Linked DNA regions of Drosophila melanogaster. The protein of the gene in region 4 interacts with the protein of the main gene of each other region in a pairwise test. Each region holds a gene or a part of one and is shown on either strand. Other genes may lie near its edges.

Region 1 (5,436 bases), on a different chromosome or scaffold from region 4:
CACTGAAAAAGCAGATATATCTTGTTTAGAAAAACTTTAAAAGAAATGAAGCCTTCCAATAAAATCACCGCTAGTTAACATTGGAAATTAAGTCTTCAAATGAAGTAATATGAATTGAAAAATTCTTTTAACTAAAGTGTTAAAAGGATTTAACATGCTGTTTTTAGGACTGGTGTTTTAAGTGCTTTCTAGTTTGTTTTATCAACATGGAAATTATACTATTTTTTCCGAGTGTACGCCCACGATTTTATGGAATTGACTGTGGAGCTTGGAAGGCAGAAGTAGCCAGGGGAAGTGGCATTAAATTGGAGACACTGTTGCCCAAATCTCCGCTGCTTAAATGCAAACTGCTCAACTTTGTTGCACTTGCTGTGCTCTGCAATGACCTTCGGTCGAGGTGTGGCCCCCGGAATTGTGGGCGTGGCTCCAAGGCGAACACGTTGCCAGCGACTTAATTAGATCTCAGTTTATGCCAGCGCGGCACTTTATGGCGAAGGTTTAAAGTGACCATTAGGTCGAATGACATTCCAAGCCCTCGAGAATGATAGGGACTATGTTGGACTGCTAAGTGGTGCGTTTAATGCTTTGAAAATATACTCAGAGTACAATGTTATGCAATGTACAATTGTAGGTGGTGAAAAGGGCTACAAATTAGGGAGTTTTGTTCCTTTGCAGGTAGAAAAAGCGATTGCCAGGGCCTGGCAGAAAGACAGACTTCCGGAACTGGTCCAGATCGAACTTGTTGGGTTCGAAAACAAATGGTTCTGTCTTTCCATTTTGAGAGGGGTGCGAATCCTTTGAAGTGTGCGATTCCCTCACTTCAGGCGCTGTCGGCTGGTTCCACCGAGCCAACATTGCCCAGATGTCGCCCTCCTCCTCGACCTCCTTCTTCTCAACGACCACCTCCGGAATGGATTCCTTGCTGGAGCTCGAGAACTTCGGCCGCACCTCCGTGCACCCCTTCCGCCGGGCGAAATCCTCCTCGATTCGCTGGACAATCGGATGGCGGCGCTCCTTGACCACCTTACACAGATTCTCGCCGTGGTGGAGGTTTTCATGAATGTAGTTATTCCGACGCACTATCATGTCCACTTCGAATTCCTGGTCGAAGCTCAGCTCACATTCCCGGAAGTCGGCGTATAGGATCTTAGGATAGGAATGTAAGTTCAATACTCAGTTAAAAATGATCTTCAGCACCCCTTTCGCAAAAGTGGTCATTATCAGCGATCCAACCTAATTCAATGTTATACTTACTCGGGTATTCTTTTCCAGGGATCTCAGTATTTGATTCCCTTGCGAGATGCCAATGTTGATGGCGGCCATTTCGAGGCTCATCAGAGGAGTGTGGCTGCGCAGGAGGGTTCCTATATCACGGGAAAACGAACCCAGGGTGGTGTTGATCCCCGAAATGTTGAGGGCCCACACATGGGGGGTTCCGATAATACACGTTATGAGCGAATGCAGGGCCAATTCATTAAGCGGATTGTGAGCCAGGCCCAGATACTCCAAAACCCCCACTTGCGATTGGCTCAACGCCTCGCCCAGCACAATTGCACAATTGGCGCCCAATTTGTTGTGTTCCAGCTGGATACTGCGGTACATCAAAGGGCGCTTTAGCAAATAGGCCAGGCCTTCGCTGCACTCATCCGTCATTTGGTCATAACCAAAATCCACCTCATCAAGGGTGTCTAAGTTCTGAAGGGCACGGGTCAGGATACGAAACTTCTTCATACTCAGGCGACTGTTTCGAAGCCTGAAGGTCTTGAGGCTCGGTAAGTATTTCAGACCTTTGCTAAGACGAACCATATCACTGTCTGAGAACTTCATATAACGGCTGTAAGGTACAAGTTAAGTTAAGTTTAAGCTAGCAATTTTAATTTAAATGCTGGTGGTAGGCGATGCAGCTGTAGACTCTTGGCGCTTTTAGAACTCTACTTCACATGTATTTATTTGGTTCCATTTATCTCAGAGAAAACATGTTATACAAATCGTGTACAGCACGTTTCACTTCTTCGATGTTGTTTCTTACCATAACATTCTAATTTAAGAGCTTACCTTTGATAGTCTTTTACATCAGGTGGTCCCAAAAACTCCAGCGTCAGAGACATCATATTTTCAAAATATCGTACAAATCCCAGATCAATGTGATGACAATGGTCCTCCGGATAGTCATACCGCTTGATCCGCTCCAGCAGCAGCTGCTTGTTGCGCTTGTCCGGTTTTGTGTCCTCGTCATCACCTTCTTCTGGAGCAACGTTTATGCTGAACACGTCTCGAATGGGCGGTTCCTTCTTCTTTTTCTTCTTTTTCTTGCCCGATTGATCCGCATTCTTCAAGGCGTCCAGTTTCTCCTGGCGCTTCCTCTTGCGCTCCTTGCGATCCTCCCGTTTCCTAGCAATGGCATCCCGAGCCTGCTGGCGGTTGGCGTTGCGCAGATGTCGCGCATTCCGGCGAATTGTGTCCTCGTTCTCGGTTTCCGCACGCCAGAAAGTAATAGCTGCCTCGCTGCTGGAACTACTAGACTTGTGCTCCTCCTCGCCCTCGTCCATTTCCGTATCCGGCTCATCGCTAGATATCTCCTCCTCGTCGGATGACTCCGAGGATATATCCTCTTCAGGCTCGCTCTCCAAGTGCTTAATGAAGGCATAGTCGGGCAGAGCTTGCAGCTTGCGGATGTGCATGGAGTTGACATACTGCCAAACAATTTCAGCCAACTGAGCCAGCCTTCTCTGCGGCTTCACGTTCACAGGACATGATTCAACCTGCTCCACAAACTTCCGGCTCACACCCTCAGCCTTCCAGTCGAACTCGTTCCAGCGCTTCAGGTGCAACGTTTTGTCCAAAGTCTTGCTTAGTACGACGCGTCGCCAAAATCGTTGATCCTCGATCAAATAGCAATCTCTTTGAAATATATATAAAGTTATTAGGGTTTGTAACCATAGTAAATAACGATATAAAGTTAGTGGCGTCAAATGTTAAATTATAGGTTATGTAATGAAAATACTTGTATCCGTTTCGTTACATACCTCAAAGGCAGCTCCACATCCAGTGCGTCGTAAAATATCCTCATAAGCTGGGGACTCGCCTGCAAAGTTGGAGATATGCCTCGAATGCCCAGCTTGGCCAGACTCTTTACGCTCAGATTGACTAAAGTGTTCAAGTTTCCCTCTATAAAGGCCTCCGCAAAAATCTCGCGATTCCGTTCGCTGTATAGGTTCAAGGTCTGATGAGAGGGCTTAAAAAGCTCATATGTGGCCAGAAGGAGGGGATCGGTGGGAGCCCGGAATTTCTGAGCATAGTGCGGTTGCACAACCTCCTCATCATCTTCAAAGTCCATATGGAGTTATTTTCGAGTATGTTTGTTTGTGCGTTGAAAGTCTTTTTTTTTGAAGTTTGTTTCTGAAAGTGATCGATAAGTATAACATGGTTTTAACCCATGTGTTCCAGTGCACCTTAATACATTTATGGAAGTGCCGTTTGTCTATCTTCATACTCCAATGAACATGTTTTATGTTTTAGTTATCTCGCACCTGCCAAACGTACTTCCTCATTAAAAACTGTCCGGTTTTCATTTAAGACACTCTAAATCCCGACCCGAGTGCGTAACAAATGTTTACAACGGCTAATTTAAGAAAACTCGCCTAAGATATTTTCCACTTACGGCGCTCTTTAAGCGTTTGCTAATATTTGCTGCTAATGTCTCGCAAGCACTTGCCAAGCACTCGAAGCAAATTTAAATTAAGCTAACCTAATTGAGAAGCGAAGAGCAGTTTCTTTTTGTGGCCAGCCCCGCTTCGCCCGCCCCGTTCCATTCCGTTTTGGCCAATATTCAGCGCTTTGTTTTGATGGCGAAGCTGCCAGGAGCTTCACCTTGCCGGCTATTTTTCTACCTAATGAAATAAAAATAGATGTTGTTAGAGCTGCTCGCTGAGTGTGCTCGTCCTGTCCGGGTGCCTTTGTGCCTGGATCGGAGATGGCCCCCAGTTTGGAAGTGGTTTCCATAGTGCATGTAGCTGCTCCTGCCAACAAAGACGCTGCACTTAAGAAAACCAAACGACTTTGTATCAATTCTTGTGACCAGGACATATAAAATATTTATATTTTTAATGCATATTTATTATTATTTAATTATAGTGGTACTGTTGATAAGCTATAATATTTTCCCGGAAGAGCTGTTACTTCCTACCTATGTGGGCTATATTCCAGGATGTATCATATAATAAAATGTTTAGTTTTAAAGTTGTAAGGAAATAATTTGGCACGGTGTGCACCTATAGCATTCCTGGCTCTGCAAAGCTTTGTGAATATGCTCAACTTGGAGTATTTCTTCAGAGCAAGTGGAGGAGCCCCAGGTCCCCAGCTCCCAGTACAAATTAAGTGCATGCCAGGACGAAATTCGCCATCCAGCCCACCACTACACACAACACAACCACCGACATCGTCGTTGGTCCTTTTCTGTGAACGACAACTGCATTGCTAAGTGGAAGTTCGACCATGACTTTTGCTTTCGCTTCGTCAATCACCTTTTTATCTGGAAGGACATTACCAAGCCAGCTCAACTCGGATTCGGTCTTACCAACTTGTCCTTCCTCGCATGTCCTTCTCGGACGTGAATGTATGTGTGTATGTGTGTGCCCCAAAATTTATTACAACCTTTGGGAATTCTTTTAAGTAGTTGCTCGATTCAAAATAATTTTCCATTTATCACCGTGATAACAAAACAGTTTTCCCCCAGCCGCAAACCAGAGCGAAAATGGCAAAATAACATCAGAAGCGCGGACATTATGAGTGGGTCGGTGTTAGGTGGAGAAAACTTCACTGCGTGGATGGAGTGTGGATGGGGGCTTGGGGACGGAGGCGTGGCAATGGCTTGGCCAAAATAAAGTGCTCTTCGCAAATCTCGCTGCCGTTGTAGTCGTCCTGGGAGTTGAGCTGAAGACTGGCTGCGGTCGTTAGGGAGTCCGACTTGTCCGACTGGCTCTGATGATAAATGCCGGGCAGCAGGTGATTTAAAATAATTTCGGCCAGCGCGCGAAAAGTATATGTTGCCGGCGCTGTTGTTTTCAAATTTTTGAAATTTACGAGCTGCCGTTCGTCTCACGGCAGAGTTTTGCCTTTCCCCTGAGGCGAAAAGACCAAAAAGTTGGCGCGATTGCTTAACATGTTTGCAACACTGGCTCCGGGGACGATCTAAACCGGAAATGACGCTGCCTCACAAATAGAAATACAATGTAAGTTTCAGTCGCGACACGATGGAGTTTCCCTTCTCTGGTTTCGCTAATGCCACAAAAGAGTTTAACCCTAACTTTGCTTTTGCATTTGCCGCTTTCCTGGCCGGTTGCATTTTTTAAGCATTTTTGGCTTGTTGACCTTACAAAGCCCACGTCAGAGGCAGAGGTACTGGGTGAAATGTAGGGCTCCAATCGCAGCTGAGTG
Region 2 (5,677 bases), on a different chromosome or scaffold from region 4:
TGTCGAACTTAACTACCAACGTTTCAAAATGGAAAAATGCCGTGCCTCCTCTAGGATAATCATAATCGGAGCAGGAGTTTCGGGCATAGCCGCCGCCACTCGACTCCTGCAAAACAATTTCCAGAATGTTCAGATCCTGGAGGCGGAGGATCGCATTGGCGGGCGGATCAACACCGTGTATTTTGGTGACAACGTCATCGATTTGGGAGCCCAGTGGTGTCATGGAAAGCAGCAAAATTGTGTATACGACATGGTCAAGGATATGGGTATCCTGCACGAGACAGGCGACTATTACAGTCCCATAAAGAGGGTGAGATCCAACAAGGAGGTGGTTCCACATGAGTTGGCCTGCAGGATTCACGACATTGCTGTGAAGAGCATGCCGAGTGGACCTCACCCGGTTGTGGGATCCTTTGGCACCCACCTGACTCAGACCTTCTGGCGCAAGATCGAGTCCGAGCTACCCCAAGTGAATAGGGATGTGGCTAGTGAGGCCTTGAATACATTTGCGAAGCATGAAAGCTCTATTATTGGTGCGGACAATCTTTTCGAGGTCTCCGTTAGGGAACACATCGAGTACCACGAATGTGATGGCGACAAGCTGCTCCACTGGGGAACGAAGGGTTACCGGCGCTTCCTGCGGCTGCTGATGAAGGTCAGCGCGGATACGCCAGAAGAGCTGGGTCTACTGGAAGGACGTATTCAACTTGATATGAAGGTCATCAAGATTGAGTTGGCGTGCCCCCGTAAGGTAATCCTGCGCTGCCAGGATGGGGATTACTTCGAGGCGGACCACGTCATCTGCACCGTTTCCCTGGGAGTCCTGCAGGAGCAGCACGAGAAACTGTTCGTCCCGCCGCTGCCCGCAGCCAAGGTGAATGCCATTCGCAGCCTCACCCTGGGCACTGTGAACAAACTGTATTTGGAGTATGAGAAGCAACCTCTTCCTGACGGCTGGGTGGGTTTCTTCTGCTTTTGGCTGGAAGAGGATCTGATAGAGCTGCGAAAGACGGAATATTTCTGGGTGGAGGGTATAACCGGTGTACACATGATCACTTGTCAGCCCCGAATGTTGATGGCCTGGGTGAATGGTCCGCATGGACGCCACATGGAGACCCTGTCCGATGAGAAAGTCCTTGAGGGCTTGTACTGGCTTTTCCGAAAGTTCCTCACTTTCGAAATTCCGCCGCCAAAGCGTTTCGTTCGCAGCTCGTGGTTTTCGAATCCGAATTTCCGTGGCAGTTGGAGTTATCGTGGAGTTATGGCCGATGAAAGGAATACGGGCCCCTGGGATCTAGAGTCTCCTGTGTTGGGCGAAGATGGTCATTTAGGCCTCCTTTTTGCCGGAGAAGCGTCTAGCAGGAATCACTTTTCCACCGTTCACGGAGCTGTGGAGGCGGGCTATCGGGAGGCAGACCGGCTCATTGATCATTACACCTCATGCAGTGTCAGTGCCTGAAAAATATATTTTTTTATCGTACTTTTCTTTATGGTTTCTTAATAAAATTGTTCTCTTTTATAAATTAAAAAAAATTACATTGGATCCTGATATTCACATACGTACCCTCTGAGATGTTTTATGTTTCTCTTTTGACAAATCAAATAAATAATGAAGTTTGAAAAAAAATTGAGGAGGAAAGCTCTACCGTTTCTCGTTTGAAATTGGCGCCCATAAGCCGTATATCGATTATCTCCTCAGCTGTTTTTATACCATCACCAATAAGATTACAATTTTTTTTGACATAACATAACACAACATTAAAAATGCAAATAATTGGGAATTGTAGCAGTAAACTGCTCAGACACAAGTACCTGTGCCAGCCAAGGGTGTACTCTCTATACTACAGTACCCTTAAAGGTGCGTTACCTCCAGTTTCATTCAAAACCCCAGTGCCGGCTAAAGAACTCACTTTTTTCCACTTTTAGATGCGGCTAATGAGCTTCCCTTGGCAGCAGGATACCAGCCACAACCAGTGGAAAATGCTTACTGGGAGCGGGAGCATCGCCAGGCAAATTTGCCCAAGGCTTCAGCCAGCAGTTGCAAGCGGGGGACCTATCGCATGCTTCTACCGCCACCAAATGTAACCGGGAATCTACATTTGGGCCATGCACTGATGGCCACCGTGCAGGATGTGATTGCCCGCCAGCGCGAACAGCTTGGCTACCAGGTGGACTGGGTACCAGGCACAGATCACGCGGGTATCGCCACCCAGGTGGTCGTAGAGCGCACGATTGCCGCTTCTCAGGCGAAAACCCGTCATGAATTGGGACGTTCTGCTTTTCTGGACGAAGTATGGCGCTGGAAGGCGGAAAAGGGTGCTGGTATCGTACAGGATCTCCGCCAACTCGGCTGTAAACTGAATTGGCAACGAGAATACTTCACAATGGATGAGCAGCAGGCGCATGCGGTCAACGTAGCTTTCGAGCGACTCTTTGAAGAAGGCCTAATTCAGCGGCGCAACTCGGTTGTCAACTGGTGCACCGCTCTACGTTCCGCGATATCTGATATCGAGGTGGACAGTGTAGAGATCACGGAGCCGGTAGAGATATCCGTTCCAGGCTACGATCACAAAGTACTCTTTGGCAGAATGTACGATTTCGCCTATCACGTAGTGGATGGTGAAGCACTGCCCGATGGTTCGGTTGAAGAGATTGTGGTGTCTACCACTAGACCAGAGACAATTTTGGGTGATGTAGCTGTCGCAGTACATCCGCTGGATCCGCGCTACGCCAAGTACCGAAACATTGATCAGGTTAAGCTCAAGCATCCTTTCCGTGACGACACCATTCCACTCGTTTTCGATATCACCGTGGACCAGGAGTTTGGCACCGGGGCAGTGAAAATCACACCAGCCCATGACAAATTTGATTTCGAGCTGGCCACTCGCCATAAGCTTGAACCTCGCCAGGTCTTTACTGAAACGGGTCTTGTGGTGGATGCCTATTCTGAGTACAAGGGTATTCCGCGCTTCGAGGCGCGAGATCTCATCGTCAATCGCCTGGAAGAGATGGATTTGCTGCGACAGGTGCGCTCTCATACCATGCAGTTGCCCATCTGCTCGCGTTCCAAGGACGTCATAGAGTACATGATATTGCCGCAATGGTTTCTTAAGTGCAAAGACTTGGCAAAGGATGCCTTATCTGAACTTCATAGTGGACGTCTGCAAATCCTGCCTCCGAACTTCGAAACGGAGTGGGAACGCTGGCTACAGGATAGCCGCGACTGGTGCATTTCCCGGCAGTTGTGGTGGGGGCATCAGGTGCCCGCATACGAGGTCATCGACTCCCAGGGAAACAGTCAATGGGTGGCTGCCCTTGACGAGAAGACAGCTAGGCAGAAAGCCATGAGACTTATTGGTAGCGAAGAATTTACATTGAAACGTGATCCGGATGTACTGGACACTTGGTTTTCATCATCGCTGCTGCCTTTCTCCACAGCCGGTTGGCCAGAGGAGAGCTACAAAGAAAGATATCCTTTGGACATAATGCAGACTGGCCATGATATTATCTTCTTTTGGGTGGCGCGCATGATGATGTTGGGTCTGAAGCTGACCGGCGAGGCACCCTTTCAGAGAATTTTGCTAAACGGCATTGTGTGCGATGCTCATGGCCGGAAGATGTCCAAGAGTATCGGCAACATCGTGGCCCCACAGCAGGTGGTTCAGGGCGCCAGTTTAGAGGTAAGTTAGGCCATTCTTGCCAAGAATAAAATTTAACGATATATTACATCTGCAGAGCCTGAAGGCTGGCTTAGAGCAATCGTGCGAGGCGGGCATTATTACGCCTTCAGAGTTAAAGGCCTCCACGATTGGAATGACGCAAATGTTCCCCAATGGCATTCAAGAGTGCGGCACCGATGCTCTACGCTTCACCCTGATGAGCCACAACATCAAGAGTCACTTCATTAGCTTCGATGTGAACGCCTGCCACACCAATAAGCTTTTCCTAAACAAAGTATGGCAAGCTATGCGATTTACCCTCGGCTCAGCCAAGGGACTGGGAATCTCGCTGCATCAGTTTGAGACTCTTGAAGGTGTGAATCTGGGCCTTTGGGATCGCTGGATCGTCGGACGCCTCGCGGAGACCTTGTCTGTCTGCTCGCAGAGCTACAGCAACTACAATTTCCACTTGGCCACAGCAGCCCTGAAGACCTTCTTCTATCAATATCTCTGTGATACTTACTTGGTAAGTTGGTTGTCATTCAATTGTTACTCAGCATCAACAAAAGCTGCTGAAATCGACAGGAAACAACCAAACCTGCGATAGGAAATCGCAGTGCTGATGCCTACATCCATGTGGGCACCCTGACCGCTTGCCTTAGCTGGGGACTGCAGGCCATGGCCCCGTATGCTCCCTTTGTGGCTTCCGAATTACTGCAGCATGTGCCCCTTAATATAGAGCTTAAACTGTCCGACTACAAGGATGAAAAGTTGGAGGAAGAGGTCAACGAAATAGTGAACATCTGCCATAATGTGCGACAGGTTAAGAGTCGCAATGAGATTAGCAAGCGCCATCATCCGCAACTCAGTTTGTTTGCCCAGAATACGGACTCGGAAGGAGTGCTTCGTCGTCATTTGCCGCAGATCAAGGTGTTATCTCGCTGCGAAGACGTGGAACTGGAATTGTTTGACGAGAGCTCAAAGATTTCGAAGCAACTCAGCTACTTCTCAACGGCAGGAGCACTCTGCTCCTTTGGCTTGAAATTGAGCGATGGATTGGATCTGACGCCGGAAAAACGAGACGAAATGCAGAAGGCCAATGCCAAAAAACTGAAGAAGTTGGTCACCGAATTGCAGCGGTATCGCATGCGCCTGGATAACGAAGCCTTCCAACTGATGGCCGACAAGAAAGTTAAGTCACATTTCGAAAATAAGGTAATGTGCTATAAAGTTTTGATTCCATGCGACATTATTTTTATTGGTTTTTTATTGTAGGTCAAAGAGTTGGAGGCGGAAATCAACAGTCTCACTCGGCTGGCAGTATTGTCCTAATGCACTGCATAACAATTAGCTTAGATAATGCCATTGTTATTGACTTACATCCGCCTAAGTCATCTGTTTGTTTAGAATTAAAGACTGCAATATTTATTAAATGCGCAACGTACCTTATAAAGGCACTAAGCATAAAAATACTCAACTACTTGTCACTGATCTAATTCAAATATCAATTTCTGTTCGGAAAATTTAGACATTTCCGTTTTAAACCGCTAACTCTTTTGTCACCAAAACCGCAAAATACTACAGATATTTTTTTTGAATTTGTTTTAAATTCCTATTAGATCATTTTTGCTAATTGCTAAGTTCACGAAATCAAACGAATATTGGTTTAAATCGGAAATGGTTATTGTTTTTACACTTTCGTATGTTAATTAATGTTTAAATTTACCAGATGCTTCGTCCAAATTCCTCGAAAGGATCCCCAATTTCTCTTCTCCAGATATGTATCACGGTTTTTTGTTATGCTATGATTATCAAGTCTTTTATTGTATACCATATTTACAGAATTGGACACGCGTTCTGCGAATACGACAAGTAGAAGCCGCGATTCGATATGTCCATATCCTCATTACCATCGGTGACTGTGTAGACAACGAATGGCTTCGCCGATGTGGTCGTGGATACCAGACCCAATCCACAAAACCGATCGCTGGGCATCGCAACTCCGCCCTGCGTTGGCG
Region 3 (5,624 bases), on a different chromosome or scaffold from region 4:
GGGTAAAACAAAAGAAAAAGGAAAAAAGGATATAATACAAGGATAACGATAATATTGCAACTGTTACTGATACAAATTTACTGATACACTTAATGATATTCATATGCTATACAAAATTAGGTGTTTTTTTACGCATTGTGAAAGCGAAAAGCAAGCAAATAGGGAAACATTGTAAAATTGAGATTAGGATTTTGTTGAATATCTTATTTATTTTCCATTAACTGAATACAAAAGCAACCATTGACTGATCACTTTTTAAAGTATTATTATATAATTTTTTTTTGTATAGGGACAAGTGTAATTAATGAACTATTATTATTTTCTTCGAACTTTTATATCATTTGTATAGACTCGTGTTTTGCGTAACCTCTATAATTTACGATCTTTGTACAGAACAAATTTTTTACAATTATATGATTAGGTGTAAAGTGTACTACTAAATGAAAACAAAAGTCTTTGAAATTGTCGCGGAACAACTAAAACATACGAAAAATAAAACTAGGGAAAACCAAACTCAGTCAAATACAAAATAAATGGATGATTATGAAGCGTAAGAAGAGTAAGTAAATCTAAGTAATAGTATTACGTAATTATGCAAACCGTGTTTACGTTTGTGTTTTTATTTCGTTTCGAAAATGGGGGAACGTGTGATAATAAAGTAACTTCGGGTCGTTCGTTCGCGTCGCGTTAAACTCAATCAATTTAAAAACTAACAATAAGGGACTTTCGCCCCCGAGTCCCAAATAATAATCGCAATACTTGATAACTTGATAATAATACGGTCTAACTAAAGCGGAAGCATAGCAATTGCTAAAACTGAAACTAAACTAAAATGAAAAATCGTGATTTCGTTGTACCTTAATCCGGATTCATCGCGGAATCCGGTCGCGTTCGCGTGCGTTTGTATCTCTCTCGGGTGATCTTAGTGATTAGCGTTTAAGCAGAAAAAAAAAATGAAAACAAAAAAACTGAATCAACACTACTACAACTACACATAAACATACAACATTAAACATGTACACACCACACATATACAGCAATATGAAATATATTTATAGATTTTATGCAGAGTAGGTTTTTGTTTAAAATATTATTTTTCATTACGATAGGGCAAACCAAAAAAAAAAGTAGGGAACATCAAATAAACTAAATGTTAGGTCAAGCTAGGGCAAGAAACAAATTAAAACAGCAAATCAAAAGTTATTTGTGCAGCATTAGAGAATTTTTTTCTTATTTCTTTCAATATTATCGTGTGTATGCTATTAAATCGATGAAGAGAACATACCAACTGTTTTTAGTACTTTACACAATTATGATATTTAACTTCCGTTGTTTTTTTTAAGTAAATCAAGACCAAGCCTAGTAAATATTGTTTTACCATCTATATCTTCATAAACAGCACGTAAAACTTTTCGTTCATCGAACATTCAACTCTGATAGGTTTATATCTCTAATCGTTTAAGCTTACAACCACTGTCTAGGCTAAATCAAATGTTCTGCAAATGTCTAACGAAATTGAATATATATACGGGCCTATATGCATAAATAACATACGCATATATATGAAATACATGCATGTATGTATAATCCCTACATCAAACTATATGGATTACAGATTATTCTTCTGGAGTTTATATATTTGTTTGGCTAAAAACTCCATTTCAAAATTCAACTATCAAGATTTGTGTAAATTGAAAAGTATATATATGAATAAATATGTATGTATAACAAACATTACCCATCAAGATAATGGATTTTCTGATTTGTATGGGATATGAGTAGGCCGAGAACAGAGTGTCATTCTCTGTCACTTCGGTAGCCCCCTTTGGCAGACCTTACCCCACATTTATCATACAAAACCCGGCTAACTTTTGCATCAGCAGCAAAATGGCATGGACACCACGGGATGAAGGTCTGCAGCAGCTCCTACCGATACTCAAGGACTCACAGTCTCCCGGTAAAGCCACGCAGCTAGCCGTGCAAGAGGTAAGTACCGAAGACCCAACTGATTTAGCAATCCTCATCGGGTGCTTCCCGGACTTCAACAACTATCTCGTCTATGTGCTCACGAATCTGAAGACGGAAAACGAGGCAACGCGCTCCATGAGCGGCCTAATCCTCAAGAACAACATTCGCATGCACGACATCACTCTGCAGCCGGAACACCTGGAGTATATCAAACACCAGTGCCTGCAGGCAGTGGGCGACTCTTCACCCGAGATCCGTGGCACCGTGGGCATTCTGATTACCACCATTGCCAGCAATATCGGTCTGCACAACTGGCCGCAGCTGCTTCCATCTCTCTGCGAAATGCTCGACAACCAGGACTACAATGTGTGCGAAGGAGCATTCAGTGCTCTGCAGAAAATTTGCGAGGACTCTGCCGGAATTTTGGAAAATATGCCATTAAATACAATGATTCCAAAGTTCCTGGAGTACTTTAAGCACAGCAGTCCAAAGATCCGCTCCCACGCCATTGCCTGCATCAACCAGTTCATCATCAACAGATCACAGGCCCTGATGCTAAACATAGACAGCCTCATTCAGAACCTCTTAGACGTGCCCTCGGATAATGACCCAGCGGTTCGCATGAACGTCTGCCACGCATTGGTTGGTCTGGTGGGGGTGCGCATAGACCTTATGATGCCGCACATGTCGCAGATTATTGAGGTATGAAGTTAAGGTTTAGTTTTAAATTTTAACGTAATGAAAAATCTCTGTAGCTCATTTTGTTGCGCTCCCAGGACGCCGATGAGAACGTGGCTCTGCAGGCCACCGAATTTTGGCTTTCATTGGGAAAGCAGAGAAACTGCAGGGATATACTTTCTCCCATTCTATCCCAGTTAGTCCCAGTTCTTGTAAGCCGAACGCAATACACGGAGACGGACATTATTCTTCTGAAGGGCGATGTAGGTGAAGATGACAAGGAGCCTGATAGACAGCAGGATATCAGTCCACGTTTCCACATGTCCCGCGTACACGGTATAAGTAATGAATTGGATGAAAACTCGGACGACGATATGTGGGATTCGGCATTGAACTTGCGCAAGTGCAGCGCTTGTGCTCTCGACATTATTTCGAAAATTTTCGGCGATGTCTGTCTGCCCCTTATGCTGCCCATCCTAAAGGAGGCGCTATTCCACCAGGAATGGGTGATCAAAGAAAGTGGTGTGATGGCCTTGGGAGCTATTGCGGAGGGCTGCATGCAGGGCTTGATCCCACACTTACCAGAGCTGATTCCCTACCTAATTACCTGTCTGTCTGACAAGAAGCCACTCGTACGCTCCATTACATGCTGGACGTTCATGCGATTCCCCAAATGGGTGCTCAACCAGCCGCACGACAAGTACTTGGAGCCTCTAATCGAGGAACTGCTGAAGTGCATCCTGGACTCCAATAAGCGCGTTCAGGAAGCTGCGTGCTCTGCCTTTGTCGCTCTGGAGGAGGAGGCCTGCACGCAACTGGTGCCCTACCTGGAGAATATGCTAAAGACGTTCGTCTTAGCCTTCTCCAAGTACCACCAAAGGAATCTACTGATAATGTACGATGTCGTTGGTCTTTTAGCGGAGTCCGTCGGTCATCATCTGAATAAACCGCAATATATTGACATCCTAATGCCTCCGCTAATGGATAAGTGGAACCTGGTAAAGGACGACGACAAAGATATAATCTATTTGTTGGAGTGCCTATCGAGCATCGCCACTGCGTTGCAGTCCTCCTTTCTGCCCTACTGCGACTCGGTGTATCGAAAGGGCATCTCCATTATTGAGGAGACTATCAACCAGGACATGGTAAGCAACTGTGTTAGCTTCAATGTAAATCTATCAATGAACTCGACTCCTTTCAAGATGTGTAAACAAAGCCAATCAACCGATTATCCTGACAAGGAGCGCATGGTTATCGCCCTGGATCTGGTGTCTGGCTTGATCGAGGGGCTGCAGAGCCTCATAGAGCCACTGGTGGCCAACAGCAAACTTTTGCAGCTGCTCTGCCAATGCATGGGCGACGTTATGCCCGAAGTAAGTTTTACCTAATTAATATACTCGTGTATATGGGATTAAAATACATATTAGGTTCGCCAATCATCGTTTGCCCTGCTGGGTGATTTGAGCGGGGCTTGTTTTTCCCAGGTATACCCCTACACGGCCCACTTTATTTTGATCTTGGTGCAAAACCTAAACCCCAGCGTTGTTGGTGTGTGCAACAATGCAGTTTGGGCCATAGGGCAAATCTGCGTTAAGTTGGGTAAGTTGGCTTGGTTCTCTTATAATGTAACAAAAAAGATTTTTTGTATTTCGCCCCTAAGGTGAGGAAACCAAGCCGTACGTACGCCTTCTGCTTAGCGAACTAATGATCCTGATGAACCGGCAGGACATTCCAAAAAATCTTTCGAGGAATGCGGGTAAGTAATTTGGCCTGATTTAAAGTAATTTATTATTATTATTCTTTTTTTTAAGCAATAACACTTGGGCGCCTCGGAAATGCATGTCCAGATGAAGTGGCTCCCTATTTGCCCGAATTCCTACGCCAGTGGTATGTACACATTAAATGCTTCATTTGCTCATTTTTTAAATTATCCTTTCTTCCACGAAATGAAGGTGCTTGTTATTGCGTTACGCATATGACCACGACGAGAAGTATTTGTCTTTTATGGGAATGTGCCATATGATCAGGGAGAATCCAGGAGGCGTGGTGCCCGACTTCTTATTCTTTTGCGATGCCATTGCCTCGTGGGACAATCCTCCACAGGATCTGCGTCAGATGATTCGAAGAGTAAGTTATTTCCGGAAATTATTAATTTTCGTCTTTCAACAATACTCGTTTGTTATTCTAGATTATCGAAGGCTTTAAGAACCAAACGGGTGCGGAGAATTGGCTAATTTTTTTGGGGAAATTTCCACAACCACTGGCCTGCCGGCTAATCGAACTGTACGACATCGAATACTAATCCGAAGCTATCCAGCCAATTATGTATTGCTTCAATCATCATTCTAATTTTACTAAGTAACCAAAGCCCCAAAAAAAGTCAGCTATTGAGTAATATACGATTTTATATAATCATTTATAATATGAATAATTCAACAAAACCTGAAATATTTTTGTAAATAAAGTCTCAATAATTGTAAAAATGTATGTTACACCATTTAAAACTTATGACATAAAAAAACAAAAGTTTTAGTTTCATTAAAATGTTTATTTTATTGGTTTATTGGAATTACAAAAATGCAAGATTCTCTTAAGGAGTTTTAAAAAGGATATATAAATGTAAATGGCTTTAATAGAATTGGCACGCAGTTTGGCTTATAGTACTAGGAATATATACGACTGGCATCTTTGCTAAGGATCTATTACTTTGAAGACCTTATGACTTTTTTATGACCCGTCGATTTTGTTCGTTTGAAATTTGATCGTTCGTTGTCCTTTGATTAGCAGTTGTCGGCAAAAGAAGATTCTTCCTGGCAGTTTTTCGTAGTCGTTGTCCAAATAAATCATAGGTCCTTAAGTCGTTCCGAAGTTCTTTATTAGTTGAGGGGACAATAGCCCTGCCAAATATCGCCAACGACCATGTTCGGCGTGATGTTGATCATCCTTTGGTTAACCTCCACCTTGCTGATGCAGCCCTT
Region 4 (3,252 bases):
GATGTCTCCAGATTTCTGAATAAACCCATCAACGATCAGCAAATGGAGAAACTGCTAAAGCATTTGTCCTTCGCGGAAATGAAGAGTATGCAAGAAGCCTATGCCGAAACAATGATCTTATTGAGCTAAACGAATTTTCTTTTCAGAAAATCCCACCACGAATCATCTGTGGGAGTTGGCCCAAGTTCAACACGAAAATGCTGGGAAAGAAATGCACCCGTAAGAGAAAGTCCCATAGTTTTCCGAACAACCATTCACTTGTAATCCTCTAGATTCGTGAGACGTGGGGATGTCAATGGCTACAAGGACGAATTGAAGCCCGAACAAATTGAGAAGGCCAATGTCCGGATACAAGAGGTTCTTGCGAAGAACGGTGTGACTTTGGACGAACTACTGCTCCTGAAAGATCAGTAAGATACATATTGAGAATAATCAAGATAATGTTGTATCTTTTGGTTTAGCTCGGAAGTAAATAACAGCGAGAGAGGAGAGCAAATAAAGCAAGGTCAAGCTGTTTGACCTACCAAACACCTTGTTCTTCAAATGTTTATCTAAAGATTCGTTTTAATTGATATAAAATATGTAGAGTCCAATATATAAGGCACACGTAGACATAAACTAACTAACACTGAAGGCGGTACAAAAGGATTGAGTCCTAGGCGGTGGAGGTCTCCACCTTCTTGGCGTTGTCCTCCTTGGAGGAGGGACCAGTCTGTGTGATCTGCACAAGGCGTTCAGTCTGCGGAGGAGGCAGCGCCTTCATTGGCGCCTTGATGGTCAGCAGGCCATCGGAGGAGAGGGACGATGTGACCGTGTCGGGGTTGACATCACCTAGTGGAAGGATCATACACGTTTAGCATACTTCCTATTTTGTTGATGGAATTCGGACTCACTTGGCAGCTGGTAGCGTCTGGAGAACTGGCGGGAGACATATCCGTGCTCGTCCTGCTTCTCCTCATGCTTTCCCTCCACGATGACGAACTTGTCGGCCACCTTGACGGTGATCTCGGATGGCGAGAACTGCTGCACATCCAGAATGACCTCGAACTTCTCGCTGTCGATGTTGAGGGTGGAACCGGACTCCTGCTTCTGCAGGCTGTTCGTGTGCCAGGGGCGCAGGTATCCCGATCGCAGCACTGTGGGGCGGGAGTTCCACACGGAGGACATGAGGTCATCCCTCTTCAGTCCCTGACCGAAGTGCTGGTCCAAGAGGCGCGAGGTGCGCATTGGAAAGTCGAGCTCATCCCACCAGTCACGGAACATCAGTGGCACTACGGACATCTGCTTTGATCAAGAAACGAGACGATAGTGAGCTAATCACTTCACTTCTTCACTGTTCAATAAATTCCGCGTTGGCTTGGTCCTTCCTCGTACCTTTTTAGATTCAATTCACTTGGATAAACGCGTCTGCTTCGATTCGCGGCTGCTGCGATTTTGATGGAGCTCCTCGAGCACTCACACGATTTTATACCCTCAACAGATTGTTTACATCTTCCCCCACGGGCTAAAAATATGAAAATTTATTTCCCATCTAAATTTAAACGAGCGTCATTCTAGAGAACATTCTGAACCTATATATGCCAAACACATATCTTTGGTGCGAATCTGCGAGCGATTTCAGCCTGTTTTGTTTGTTACCGTGGGAGTCGTGGGATTTGAAGACTCAGACTCAGCCTGTGATTACGATGATGGTGACCCAAAGAAGATTCCATTAGTCACTGCTCAGACAGGCCTTTTTCGGAGTTCAAATGATAGTGTTTCCGATTGTTTGTTCCAGAAGCAACACACATATGTATGTATGCAGAGTATTAAAAAGCAAGCCTACACAAATTCCCGCAGTTTGTATGCAAATTCTATTCTGTATAATATTTTTTCGAAAACCGAAAATCCAAAGTGCAAAATGTGTTCTGGAAAATGCCAGAAGAATTTCTCGACACTTTTACGCCCCCTTTACTCTTTAGATATATAGGAATTTTCATAATTTTCTACCTGTTGAGAGTGTTGATTTGACGCGGCTAATATAAAAATACTTTGGCCACTAAATGACTTTATGAACTATTTTAAGCATCTGCCACTTTTTCTTATTTCTCGCTTTTCCTCTGCTGAGTCATGTCGCGTGCGTTTTCTATCAGACGAAAGAGATGACGTCGCTCAAAACAAAGGAATTTTCAAGCATTGTTTTGAAAATTATACCAGCAATTTGCTTGAATTAGTAGCTCATCAATCATAAAGTTTTACTTCTTAAAATATATCATCGCGAACATATACTATATCAAAAACAAAGTGCCGCCCTCTAGTGTTCATATCTAATTTACCAGTGATGCAAGTACAAGTTCAGCTAGTTACAAACAAGTATCTTCTTTTCATTTGCTGCACCTGTTAAAATGGTACATTTTCATACAATCTCATATATGTTTTCTGTTCCTAACATTTTAGGGACTGGCCCTGTAGTGGATTGTGTACCCAACACAGCCAAACAAACAGTGAGGCAATCACCCTTCGAAATGGGCCAAAAGCACACCAACACCAGTGCAGCAGTGCATGCACTCGATGGCTGTGTGTGCGTGTGAAAGTAGTGAAAGCTGAAAGCCGAGGGCGAACGGGGCCAATACTTATGCTTATGCAAGGCAGCCGAGATGCCGAGATGCCGACGCCACCGCCCCAAAGGGAGGCCAAAAACGGAAAACAGGCGACATTCATCGCAGGACGTGAAGTGTTCACTGTACTTTGGGAGCGGAGGATAAGTCAAGACGTCAACAGAGGAAGCTGTACGATGGTGAGCTCCAAAAATAAACAAAAATCACAGGAGTGCAACTCCTAGCTCCTAAAGGTGTTCACGAGTATGCAGTGGAAAGTAGTTGTAGTAGTGCTTTCGGAGGCACTTTGGGGTTATATGTCGGATTGGGTTTCACTTTCTTCGCTGCATTACAGTTCGCCCCCCACTCGCTGCCCGTGACGTCACGACTGTTGCTTCTGGTGGTGACACTGCTCTTCTGCCCCGTGCAGGCGCATCTCTCGAAGCGAAGCTACTCGGATCAGAGTGTCCACGGCTACATGACCGAGGTGCCCCAAAGGATAACAGGTGGTACATAGTGGCAGCGAGATAACCCTTTCGTTTCCAATGCATTCTAGCGCACCTGCTGGTGGAACGAGGTGTGTAAGGAGGAGTTCCAGAGCCTCTTCCGCTGCAAGTGCCCCCAGTTCTCCTACTGCCGGTAAGTTTCCGTTTCCGGCCGAGTGCCCGGAATGCAA

The links.
Region 1: the proteins of l(2)efl (region 4) and CG15580 interact in a two-hybrid assay, tested with the Drosophila melanogaster proteins (one large-scale study listed by BioGRID).
Region 2: the proteins of l(2)efl (region 4) and ValRS-m interact in a two-hybrid assay, tested with the Drosophila melanogaster proteins (one large-scale study listed by BioGRID).
Region 3: the proteins of l(2)efl (region 4) and CG8219 interact in a two-hybrid assay, tested with the Drosophila melanogaster proteins (one large-scale study listed by BioGRID).

What each region holds. Positions count from the first base shown.
Region 1 is NT_033777.3:6,054,154-6,059,589, forward strand, and holds CG15580 (uncharacterized protein), read right to left. Parts: upstream 3,384-5,436; 5' UTR 3,338-3,383; coding exon 3,027-3,337; intron 2,902-3,026; coding exon 2,056-2,901; intron 1,835-2,055; coding exon 1,255-1,834; intron 1,147-1,254; coding exon 652-1,146; 3' UTR 559-651; downstream 1-558.
Region 2 is NT_037436.4:8,960,714-8,966,390, reverse strand, and holds ValRS-m (Valyl-tRNA synthetase, mitochondrial), read left to right. Parts: upstream 1-1,621; 5' UTR 1,622-1,764; coding exon 1,765-1,858; intron 1,859-1,926; coding exon 1,927-3,680; intron 3,681-3,735; coding exon 3,736-4,185; intron 4,186-4,244; coding exon 4,245-4,874; intron 4,875-4,934; coding exon 4,935-4,991; 3' UTR 4,992-5,117; downstream 5,118-5,677. Other genes in the region: CG5653 (uncharacterized protein), read left to right, coding at 29-1,459; CG13313 (uncharacterized protein), read right to left, coding at 5,496-5,677.
Region 3 is NT_037436.4:6,198,653-6,204,276, forward strand, and holds CG8219 (uncharacterized protein), read left to right. Parts: upstream 1-1,820; 5' UTR 1,821-1,887; coding exon 1,888-1,986; intron 1,987-2,079; coding exon 2,080-2,670; intron 2,671-2,723; coding exon 2,724-3,791; intron 3,792-3,848; coding exon 3,849-4,019; intron 4,020-4,073; coding exon 4,074-4,245; intron 4,246-4,306; coding exon 4,307-4,402; intron 4,403-4,457; coding exon 4,458-4,533; intron 4,534-4,598; coding exon 4,599-4,773; intron 4,774-4,834; coding exon 4,835-4,948; 3' UTR 4,949-5,124; downstream 5,125-5,624. Other genes in the region: LanA (laminin A), read right to left, coding at 5,523-5,624.
Region 4 is NT_033778.4:23,684,102-23,687,353, forward strand, and holds l(2)efl (lethal (2) essential for life), read right to left. Parts: upstream 1,443-3,252; 5' UTR 1,375-1,442; intron 1,285-1,374; exon of another isoform or gene 1,282-1,284; coding exon 894-1,281; intron 832-893; coding exon 656-831; 3' UTR 550-655; downstream 1-549. Other genes in the region: St3 (sulfotransferase 3), read left to right, coding at 1-85, 147-219, 273-410, 2,437-2,776, 2,932-3,063, 3,133-3,215. UniProt on the Drosophila melanogaster protein: Vital role in embryonic development.